3 linked regions of the Mus musculus genome follow. The protein of the gene in region 1 purifies or fractionates together with the protein of each later gene. This does not show direct contact. Links are inferred from orthologs where the notes say so. Each region holds a gene or a part of one and is shown in the gene's direction. Other genes may lie near its edges. The genes, in order: Esr2, Ptcd3 and Copb2.

Region 1 (3,653 bases):
AGATCACTAGAACACACCTTGCCTGTAAACAGGTAAAGCCCTGTAAACCATGGGTGGTGGCTTGATCCTTTCTTTACAGGTTAGCATGAAGAAAGACATGTTAGAAAAGGTCTTTACTCTGTCACCTGCATTCTTAGGATACTGGAGACATGTTGCTCTGTCCTGCTCTGACATTCTAGTTCTTAAAATGTTGCGCTTATGGATGGACACTATGGAGAGAGTTCACCATAATGAATAATCGTCTCTTTATGCAGCAAACATCAAACTTGTATCCGTTTGGTTTAGGTGAAGGTGTTGGGTTTTAAGTGGTTTGTTTTCTTTTGTTTGGTTTGTTTGGTTTGGTTTGCTTTTCACAGTCAGATTAGAGTCTTAGTGTAAAATGACAGGTTACTTACTGTTGATGACAAATTGTCTCCAGGATGAACGTAGCCATGGTAACACTACAACTTCCACGAAGTAGCCATGCAAAGCCAGGAAAGCTAACGGGCACAGGCTTTAGTGATGAGCTGAGGTGGTGCTTTGTCAGGGGCAATGAGACACCAACTGTAGGATTCTGTTGAAAAGATCTGAAGTTAACACAAGTTGAACTCTGAATGCATGGCCACGTGATGTATTGCTTCTGTCTAATTTGTAAGGTTTTCGACTCTACCGATGGCTGTTGAGAGAGAGGAGAACATATGAATGCGTGACTGGAAGAAACGGAGGGCTGGAAGAGAGAACCACGTTAGGGCACACTGACTCTTAAATGCATTACTTGTAGGGTGTGATGGTGCATACCTTTGATCCCAGCACTCACAAGCCAGGTCTAGCCTAGTCGACATAGTGAGTTCCAGGACAGCCAGGGTTACATAGAAAGACCCTGTTTCAAAAGACAAGGCAAAACAAAAAAAAATTTGTAACAATATTTATATAAAAATAATTTACAATAATAATATTATTATTATTATAACAATATTTCAAATATTGTTATAAATCTTAGAGGAGACAGGAGCTGGAGGGCCCATCTCAGTACTAGAGGCATGTTTAACATCCTCAAGGCTCTGGGTCTAACCTGCTGTACCCCCAAACCCAGAACCTCTGGCAAACCAAACCAAACCAAACCAAACCAAACCAAGCCAAACCAAAACAACCTTTAAGAAAATACACAATAATTTATTTTTTCTCCTTAATATTTTTATTTATTGGTAAGCTAAAGAAACAAATATAAAAACTGTAGGTTGTGGCTGAAGACAAGTGCTTTTAACATATCTCTCTTTAAAGGGTGAAGTTTGTTTTTATCGTTTCTGAACTAGCAATAGCTCTACTATCTCCCTCCCCAAAAGAAACATGTCCTGGCAAATCAGCCCATGGGCAGAGTGTGCAGCTGCCCCTGCTGCTCCTCTGCTGGACAATTCCTTCTTAGAGCTACGGATCCCAGCCCAGCCCTGAGCTGCCCTCTTCGTAGCCTCTGAGGGCTTGGACTCACCACGTAGGCTCTTAAATGTCAGTCTCCACTGCGATGGAGCTCCCTGTGATCTGATATCAGGTTTCCTGGAACATATTTATCCCTAGCTCTGGAAGGCAAAGAGATTAAATTTGACCAAGTTCATGCTATTTTTTTTTTCTGCCAAGCCCTTCCCCTCTCTTGTTGTGTCCTTTGACAATGGCTGTGTTCTCTGCTCCCCCAGAGAGACCCTGAAGAGGAAGCTTGGCGGGAGCGGTTGTGCCAGCCCTGTTACTAGTCCAAGCGCCAAGAGGGATGCTCACTTCTGCGCCGTCTGCAGTGATTATGCATCTGGGTATCATTACGGTGTCTGGTCCTGTGAAGGATGTAAGGCCTTTTTTAAAAGAAGCATTCAAGGTACAAGACTATGATAAATCATTCCTCTAGTATTTACACTTTGGCTTGCAAGCAATTTTGCAGAGATGATCTGATATAAATGTCACCCTTGGGCTGGCTTACACTTTGTGAACGTGAGCAGCTTAGATGAGTGTGTGTTTGGGAGTGGGTTGAGTGGGGGTGTATGGATGTCTGGATTGCTTGTTTCTACTCCAGAACCCTAAGATTATAGGGGCCAGAAAAGATATCTGTTTACAACCTTGTAAAGATAGTGCTAGGAAAAAAAAATCTGTGCTCATCAAAGAATGTCTATCTGTTCATTTTTTCCTAGGTTTAATATAGGGTATGCTTATGTCATGACGGTGGGCTGGCGTTTAACTTTAATGTTGGTTTGTTTATGAGACAAGGTTCCACGTAACCCAGGCTGACCTTGAATCCATTATTTAGTCATCAAAGATCCTGAACATAGGATCCTCCACCTCCACAGTGATCATAGGCATCCACCACTAAGCCCAGTTTGTTCGGCGCTGGACATGGAACCCAGGGCTGCTTCCTGCATGTGAGGCAGGCTCTCTACCAACTGCGCTATGCCCCTAAGCCACACTGTACTTCCTGACATTTACCATTCTTCATTTTCATGGTTTTCAACTTTCCTTGCCAACTTGGTCGGTAAAGCTGCCTGCCTGCGTCTTAGTGCAGTGGGGCTGTGTGGTGCAGGCTGCCTACATCTTAGTGCAGTGGGGCTGTGTGGTGCCAGCTGCCTGCGTCTTAGTGCAGTGGGGCTGTGTGGTGCCAGCTGCCTGCGTCTTAGTGCAGTGGGGCTGTGTGGTGCCAGCTGCCTGTGTCTTAGTGCAGTGGGGCTGTGTGGTGCCAGCTGCCTGTGTCTTAGTGCAGTGGGGCTGTGTGGTGCCAGCTGCCTGCGTCTTAGTGCAGTGGGGCTGTGTGGTGCCAGCTGCCTGCGTCTTAGTGCAGTGGGGCTGTGTGGTGCCAGCTGCCTGCGTCTTAGTGCAGTGGGGCTGTGTGGTGCCAGCTGCCTGCGTCTTAGTGCAGTGGGGCTGTGTGGTGCCAGCTGCCTGCGTCTTAGTGCAGTGGGGCTGTGTGGTGCCAGCTGCCTACATCTTAGTGCAGAGGGGCTGTGTGGTGCCAGCTGCCTGCGTCTTAGTGCAGCGGGGCTGTGTGGTGCCAGCTGCCTACATCTTAGTGCAGCGGGGCTGTGTGGTGCCAACTGCCTACATCTTAGTGCAGTGGGGCTGTGTGGTGCCAGGTTTCCCATCAAGACCAGACTCGCTGACCTCTCCACAGAGTGAGGCACCACCAGACCAAACCCTGTAGTTTCTCTCCTGGGCTGTGGGGCACAGAGAAGGGATCAAGGACAGGGGTTCCTTACCACTTCTGGTCTAGCTTAGGGCTTGGCTTATTTTTAAAAGCTTATTCTTTTAATTCTGTTTCCTTTTGAAATTCTTTCAACGAGTATTAGTGGAACTGTGTATTAGGTTGTGCGACACAGGAAGACAATGCAGTGTATTCTATTTTGTTCATTACTGGTACAAAACCAGTTTCTTGAATGATAATTTGTAAAAAGCATTGGGCTCACACGATGCGTAGAGATATATTCTGTATGTGTGTGTGAACCTATGTGCATGTACACATGTGAGTGTGTGTATTTGCATACATGTATGACTGTGTGTACATGCCCCTTTGGAAGCTAGAGGTCATCATTTGGTATCTTTCTCAATTTCTCTTCACCTTATTTTTAGAGTCAGAGTTTGTTATTGGACCAGTTGCCACCCAGGCAGCTCTGAGGGTCCTCTTGCACCCACTGCTGGTGTTACAG
Region 2 (3,653 bases), on another chromosome or scaffold:
TAAATGCTTGCTGGGATCCAAACCAAACTCTAGCCCTCATGATTTTGGACCAAGGATTCTTAACTCTTGAGCCATCTTTCTAACCCCCTCCTTTCAGTTTAATTGCTAGATTCAGCAGTGGGAGGATCTTAAAGACTGTATATCTTAGCTCTAGTTTTAGGTGATGGGCCCATTATTTGTACTTGTAATTGAACACTTGATAAAAGCAGTGGGGCTGAGGAAATGGCTCCAAGTGGGAGCATACATTTTTAGGTTTGGGTTCCCAGGCCCCACTGGTGGTATGTGTTCTGTAAACCCACGATGAAGCAGGAAGTAGATATAGGCAAATCTGTTGAAGACCAGCTCCAACAATGTTCAGCAATCCGAGGAGGGGGGTGTGGGGGCTGGTGATAATGTAAAGCATGCACATGCTCACACATTTAGTGGTTAAAGCAAGCTCCATCAACTTCACACATAAATATATACATGTACACACATACATGGTGGGTGAAGCAAGCTCCAACAACTTTATACATACATACATTGGGTAGATGGAGCAAGGCTTAATGGCGGATGACATGCAGAGGGACCTACAGTGGGCAAGTGAGCTTCCTAGAGATAGCCCACCATCTTACACAGCTGCAATGGCTGTACCTCAGCCTTCATCTACAGATTACTTCTTGCTGCTGCCATGCCTTCTCATGCTTGTCATTGCTATATTCCTCATACATCTAGCAAGGTGTGACTGCCTCTTGAGAGACAGCCCACTCTGTCAGGCAACTTTCCTGCAGATCAATATGAAAATGAAATTTCCAAAAATAATATTGTTTAAATGAACTAATAATTTTACAGACTTCCTGATTTGATTTAAATAGTCTTAGGAAGTTTAGGGTAATTGATAGAAAGTTTAAGGAGATGGATTAAGTTGTTTTGCCAGAAGGTGTAATAAAGTTAGAACTATGAGTGGAATGTGTGCCCTCCTTTGTAAAATACTGGGGGCTACATCTGTTAGAAAACAAATACAGTGAGTTTTCTTGCATTACAAACATATAATTGTACTTGGAAAAGAAAAATAGGCTTGGGACAAGGTCATTATCAAAGAAAACATTGTAGGTTGGGTCTGAGTTCTAGGATCTTGTGATCTAGGGATGTGGCCATAGGTTTCAGTGTGCACTATGAAAAAACAGGGTTATGGATAAAGAGTAAGTAATTCTGTTATGAATATAAGGATAAATAATGATGATTAGTTAGTTTATCTGAACAAAAGATAGGTTATCTCTCTTGCTAAGTATAAATTGTTATCAGCATAGGAAAGAACTTACTACAAACTGGATTGCTTAAATTTTAGTAACAAAAGAATTATTGCTTTGGGGTTTATGGTGAACTTGTGGAAAGAAAGAAAAATGGGGAATATTAGTTAAGTATGAATTTCAAAAGAATAATATATACTCCTATTGTAATTTCCTTTTGTGTAGTGATTTTAATTGTTTGTTTGTTTTTCAAGACAGGGTTTCTCTTGTGTAGCTCTGGCTGTCCTGGAACTCGCTCTGTAGACCAAGCTGGCTTGGAACCTGCCTCTGCCTCCCAAGTGCTGGGATAAAAGGCGTGCGCCACCACTGCCCGGCTTTAATTCTGTTTTGAGGAATGTTTTTGTGGTGATTGTTTTTTAGAGATAATGTTAACTTGTGACTCTGAGGTTTTTCCTTACAGAACTTTAGTCTTAGGTGGTATAAAAAGACTAAGAAAAAAAAAGTTATTGGAGTCAGCTCATTGGAGTTGTCTATCCAAATATGTATATGTGTGTGTGTATATGTGTACATTTATGAAGTTTGATCAAGCTTACTTGTTGAAGCTTACTCCAGCCACACATAGATATGTGTGTATACCTATGTATGTATGTATGTAAAGAGGTTGGCGCCTGACTCCATCTACCCAGTGTGTGAATGTGTATTAATATATGCGTGTAATATTTATGTATGTGTAAAGAAAGTTGCTGGCGCTTGTTTCGTCCAGCAGGTGTGTAAGCATGTGCTTGCCTTGCATTGTCGCCAACCCCCAGCCCCGCCTTGGACCTCTGAACACATTGTTGGAGGTGAACACAACAGTGGAGCTTCAGGTTCAGTGAGGTTTTGGAGAGGCAGTTGAAGACGACATCTGAAACACAACTCCCACTCCTACGAGCATCTATAGGCAGGCACACCTGTGTACATATACGCAGACAAATTGAAAAGTAGCAGTAATATTAAGACTAGACTCTTATATGTACATAGAGATTTTATTGTGTTACACTTCATGCCTTTATGTGTGAGGGTTGTTTTTGTGTGTCCAGGTCCTTGTTTCCCCACTGAGTACTTTGAATACAAATGTTATTTGAGGTGACTGAGAATAAGTAGTAAGCAGGGAGCCCAAAGTGTCCAGCTGAGGATCCAAGATCTCAGCTGGGAAATGTAGTAGTTACCACTCATTTGGTCAATCATTGACCGTTCTGACTTGAAATTACATATTTTTTTATTTTGTGTGCACATGTACAGCATTGGGGGTGGGGGGTGCCAAAGGACAACTTTGTGGAGTGAGTCCTCTCCTGCCTTTATTACAAGTACCTTTACCCATCTCACTGACCTAAAGTTGTAAACTTTAAAAATGTATGATTTAATACAGTAATAATTCTACTGGAATTTCACTAATCATATCTTATTGTTACACACAGACTTTAATCTAAACACACTTTTTCTCTCCACAGTTCGAAGTTTTTCAGTTTGATTTGTTCACTGGAACAAATTGATGTCACCTTGAAGTGGTATAAGGACCTAATACCTTCAGTAAGGGACTTCATACTCATCTTTGTCTTTGTAGATGAATTTGTGAGAATGCCTTTTCTGATGGATGTTATAAAATCATGTTTGTATTTCTCCACCAGGTGTTCCTTCCCCACTACCAAATATTCATAGGTCTTCTTCAAGCATTGGATGTGGCCAATAGACTAGAATTGGTTCCTCAGATTTGGAAAGGTTGGTGGCAGTTTTGTGCAGTGACTGATGATTAACATGTACATTTTAAGACTGAAAGCCTCCATTCTTTTTTTTTTAAAAGATTTATTTATTATTTATATGTAAGTACACTATAGCTGTCTTGAGGCACACCAGTAGAGGATGTCAGATGTCATTATAGATGGTTGTAAGCCACCATGTGGTTGCTGGGATTTCAACTCAGGACCTTCATAAAAACAGTCAGTGTTCTTAACCGCCGAGCCACCTCTCCAGCCTCCAAAAGCCTCCATTCTTAACAGAGGTTAACACTTTTGTTAAGGTCAAACTTGAAGGCCATTGCTCAAGTTATAGTGGTTAAGTTAAGTACAGGAAAATAAGATCTTTCTGATATCAGTGCCAGAGAAATTAGTACCAAAGTCCAGCTCTGTGTCTTACCCAAATCTCTTACACAGGCTGTGTTATACATTGACTACAAACATTTCTGATTGGCATTTGGCAACAGGTCTCACTGAATAGCTCTGATTATCCTGGTACTCATTTTGTAGACCAGCCTCAGCCTCCCAGAGTAGTGGAATTAAGGTTTTCTTTAATTCTAATAAATAATTCTAATTTTAATCCTACTGGAGGATAAAAGTCAGTAATGGATAAAAGCTCACCAGGTGTTTTGCATTTGGGATATCACTGTCC
Region 3 (3,653 bases), on another chromosome or scaffold:
GAATGATTGATGTGGAAAAGCCTTTTCATACTTCATGTGAAGATGGTCAGGAGAACTCTAGTAGCAAACTTAAGAGCTGCTGGTTGCCATTAGAAAGCATCTCACCTTGTTATGGTCCTGAGTCTGTCTAGAGAGACTGGGGCCATGGCCCACCAAAGGTGCTCCCTTGTGGTATTATTGTTTTTTCTTTATGTATAAGTGCACATATGTGTGTGGAGAAAAGAAATAAGGAGTAAGAAACACTGTTTTAGAGAACAGAGAGCAGCCCACCTCACCTGAATGATAGAACCCTGTTTCCCATTGGTGTTCCACAACAGTGCTGTGCTGTCCACCTTCCCAAGTGCATATAGAAGTATGGTGCATCAATGCTAAGTGCACAATGACTACCTTGCTGTAAGACTGATCCTGTAGTGAACAAAGTGAATACATTTTGAGGTGGCTGCTCAGAAAGGTGGTCAGTCATCTGTCTGTCTGTCTGTCTGTCTGTCGGGTTGCAGATCTTCTGGTCTGACTCTGGAGAGCTGGTCTGTATCGCCACCGAGGAGTCATTTTTTATTCTTAAATATCTGTCAGAAAAAGTCTTGGCTGCACAGGAAACACATGAGGGAGTTACTGAAGATGGCATTGAAGACGCCTTTGAGGTGAGTGTCTGAGTCCAGCTTAGGGCATTGAAGACGCCTTTGAGGTGAGGTCTGAGTCCAGCCTAGGCTTTGTTTTTAGTATTTTATATTCTTTAAACAGACTAAATTGATTCTAATAGTTCTGTGTAAATTATGTTTGGGTAGGGTGACTGTAAGTTCTGATAATATGTAAAATTTTGGCAAAAACAGAATTTGAAAGTATGTGTCTTAGGGTTTCATTGCTGTGAAGAGACACCATGACCAAGGGCACTCTTATAAAGAACATTTATTGGGGCTGGCTTACAGTTTCAGGGGTTCAGTCCATTATCATGATGGGAAGCATGGCATCCTACAGGCAGACATGGTACTTGGACTTGGAGGAGCCAAGAGATCTACATCTTGATCCAGAGGCAGCCAGGAGACACTACTGTGTTTCACACTGGGCAGAGCTTTAACATATATATTACCTCAAAGCACCACCTCCAGTGACACACTTCCTCTAACAAGGCCATACCTAATAATGCCACTCCCCATGGGCCAACACATGAGTTTATGGGGTCCATATCTATTCAAACAACCACTGTATGTTTAAAATAAATATGTGCCCTGACTTTTAGAAAATCTGCAGGCTTGCTTTGCTATCTTCACTAAGGAAATGTGAAGGTGTTTGGTTCTAAGACTGTTGAGCTAGAATGATTCAAATGAGCTCTGAAATGGGAAAATCAAACCATCCACTGTTTAGATGTCCTTAAGGACTTGAAGATACTTAACATTCCAGTTTCATGTGTTGCAGTTTAGATTGATATTTTTTAGTTATGTTTATGTTAATGACTCAACACTGAGATTTCATACTGTAAATATTCATTGAAAACTTTTTTTTAAGACAAAAATTCTTAGGAAGAATGTTCTTGAAATTGGATTTTACTTTGCATTCCTTATCACTCTCATCATATCTAGCTTGTTCAGATTTCTGGTGTTGACTAAGATTGTAATAGTCTGTTTTCTTTTTTATAGGTTCTTGGTGAAATTCAGGAAATTGTGAAAACTGGGCTGTGGGTAGGTGACTGCTTCATTTACACAAGTTCTGTGAACAGATTAAACTATTACGTGGGAGGAGAGATAGTCACCATCGCCCACCTGGACAGGTACTGAGTGTCATTTTGCTTTTGTCTAAAGCAGCCTAAATTTGAAAGTGCTTTATGAACCAAATGTCATGCTGACTTGTGTAACAGTGATGGGTTAATTTCCCCCCATTAGTTTTAGTAGATTTTCTGATGGTAACCAAAATCACATCCATTAAATGTGTAAGAATTTGAGCAAGAAGGGTGTGTGTGTGTGTGTGTGTGTGTGTGTGTGTGTGTGTGTTTGTGTGTTTGTGTGGTGGTGTAACTGTAGATTTGGGCTTCTGAGTTGGTTTCTCTTTCTCTTACAGGACAATGTATCTTCTGGGCTATATTCCAAAAGACAATAGACTTTATCTGGGGGATAAGGAATTGAATATTGTTAGCTACTCCCTGTTGGTTTCAGTCCTGGAATACCAGACTGCTGTCATGCGGAGGGATTTTAGCATGGCGGATAAAGTCCTCCCTACCATCCCCAAAGAACAGAGGACCAGAGTTGCACACTTTTTGGAAAAACAGGTGAGAAGTTTTGCCTGCCTACTTTCCTTCCCTCCCCTCTCTTTCTTTTTAAAAGTAGCATTTGACAGAATGTTGATACAGGTTGTAGAATGTCATCTCTTATGTCTTACCACTGACCATATCAGGTTGGCAGCACACACACAGCACATCTGGCTTGAACTCTTGCTTCTTTAGGCGTAGGAACCTCAGTGCCTCTGTCAGTGTTGGAGCTGATTTTATCACTTTTCTTACATCCCCTTTAAGGTTCTTGGCATTTTTATTTCTAGCACACCTTTAATTCCAGTACTGGGGAGTCAGAGGTAGTTCCAGAGTTCCAGGCCAGCCAGGGCTACAAAGTGTGTCTCTAAAACAAAAAACAAACAAAAAAACAAACCCTAAGCTGGACTTAGTTTTCCTATTATTATCTTGTTTTAACTTAAACATGTGGTAAAGCTCCCTTAATAAAACTTATTACCAATGTGCCAACTCCAGTTATATATTCACAGCATATAAAGTAGGTTCTACAATGTAAACCAGATGTCCTTTCCTGACCCCTTCCTATTTCCCAGAAGTATTTTCTGTTTTCATGCCTGAGGATGTAGCAATGCACTGACTCTTCATTTTCAGCTTTAGGCATTTCATGTGAAGTGAAGCCTATAAAATGGGAGTCTTGTGTGTGGACATCACAGGAAGGGTACAACTTTTACAGAGGGCTTAAGTTTGGTTCCAATGAACTACTTACCTGCTTACAATTGCCTGAAACTGCAGTTCCAAGGGAATTCAGTTTCCTCTTCTGGCTTCTGTAGGCATCAGGCACATATATACATGTATGGCAAACATTCATACACAAAAATCTTAAAGCAAAAGTTCTCTTTAAAATCTGTTTATTCATATTTCCTCTCCTTTTGTAGTATATCCTTAGGAGTTTATGCCCCCCAAACACAAAAACTACCTTTAGTGTCATCTTAGTGTAGATCGGAAATACAGCAAAAGCAAGGACATGTCGCCCTCTTCCTCTGTCCTGCTCTACCCCTACCTGACCAGTTCCAAATATCTGCTGTTCACTCTGGGGTTTTCTGCTGTCAGTGCTAGTGAAGAAAATCAGTAACTTATTTAGAACCAGTGTTTACATTGCACCATGGGTAGATGGGGGAAGCAGAATGGCACATTTCCAGCAACATGACGACATAGTTAGATGAACTCTGAATGTTGTCCGGCTTCTCTGTCCTGACCACTCTACACTAAGCATTTTCCTTCAGTGTGCTGAGAAGTAAGCCACCAGAGTTTCCCTCTGGCTGCCACATTCCCAGAGTTGGAAAACTTGCCCATCAATGTTTTTTTCTCACAGAAGTTAACTTTGTAACTACAGTAGTAGATTTAAAAGCCTGTCCTATGGCTTTATGCCCTAATAGAG

Evidence for each region.
Region 2: the proteins of Esr2 (region 1) and Ptcd3 purify together in Homo sapiens (affinity purification with mass spectrometry; 3 studies listed by BioGRID and IntAct, with this or other methods). This does not show direct contact. The link is inferred for Mus musculus from reciprocal best matches to the Homo sapiens genes ESR2 and PTCD3.
Region 3: the proteins of Esr2 (region 1) and Copb2 purify together in Homo sapiens (affinity purification with mass spectrometry; 3 studies listed by BioGRID and IntAct, with this or other methods). This does not show direct contact. The link is inferred for Mus musculus from reciprocal best matches to the Homo sapiens genes ESR2 and COPB2.

The regions. Positions count from the first base shown.
Region 1 is NC_000078.6:76,163,636-76,167,288, reverse strand, and holds part of Esr2 (estrogen receptor beta), read left to right. Parts: coding exon 1-32; intron 33-1,667; coding exon 1,668-1,840; intron 1,841-3,653.
Region 2 is NC_000072.6:71,884,643-71,888,295, reverse strand, and holds part of Ptcd3 (pentatricopeptide repeat domain-containing protein 3, mitochondrial isoform 1 precursor), read left to right. Parts: intron 1-2,719; coding exon 2,720-2,798; intron 2,799-2,896; coding exon 2,897-2,987; intron 2,988-3,653. UniProt on the Homo sapiens protein: Mitochondrial RNA-binding protein that has a role in mitochondrial translation.
Region 3 is NC_000075.6:98,580,638-98,584,290, forward strand, and holds part of Copb2 (coatomer subunit beta'), read left to right. Parts: intron 1-497; coding exon 498-641; intron 642-1,634; coding exon 1,635-1,765; intron 1,766-2,052; coding exon 2,053-2,260; intron 2,261-3,653. UniProt on the Homo sapiens protein: The coatomer is a cytosolic protein complex that binds to dilysine motifs and reversibly associates with Golgi non-clathrin-coated vesicles, which further mediate biosynthetic protein transport from the ER, via the Golgi up to the trans Golgi network.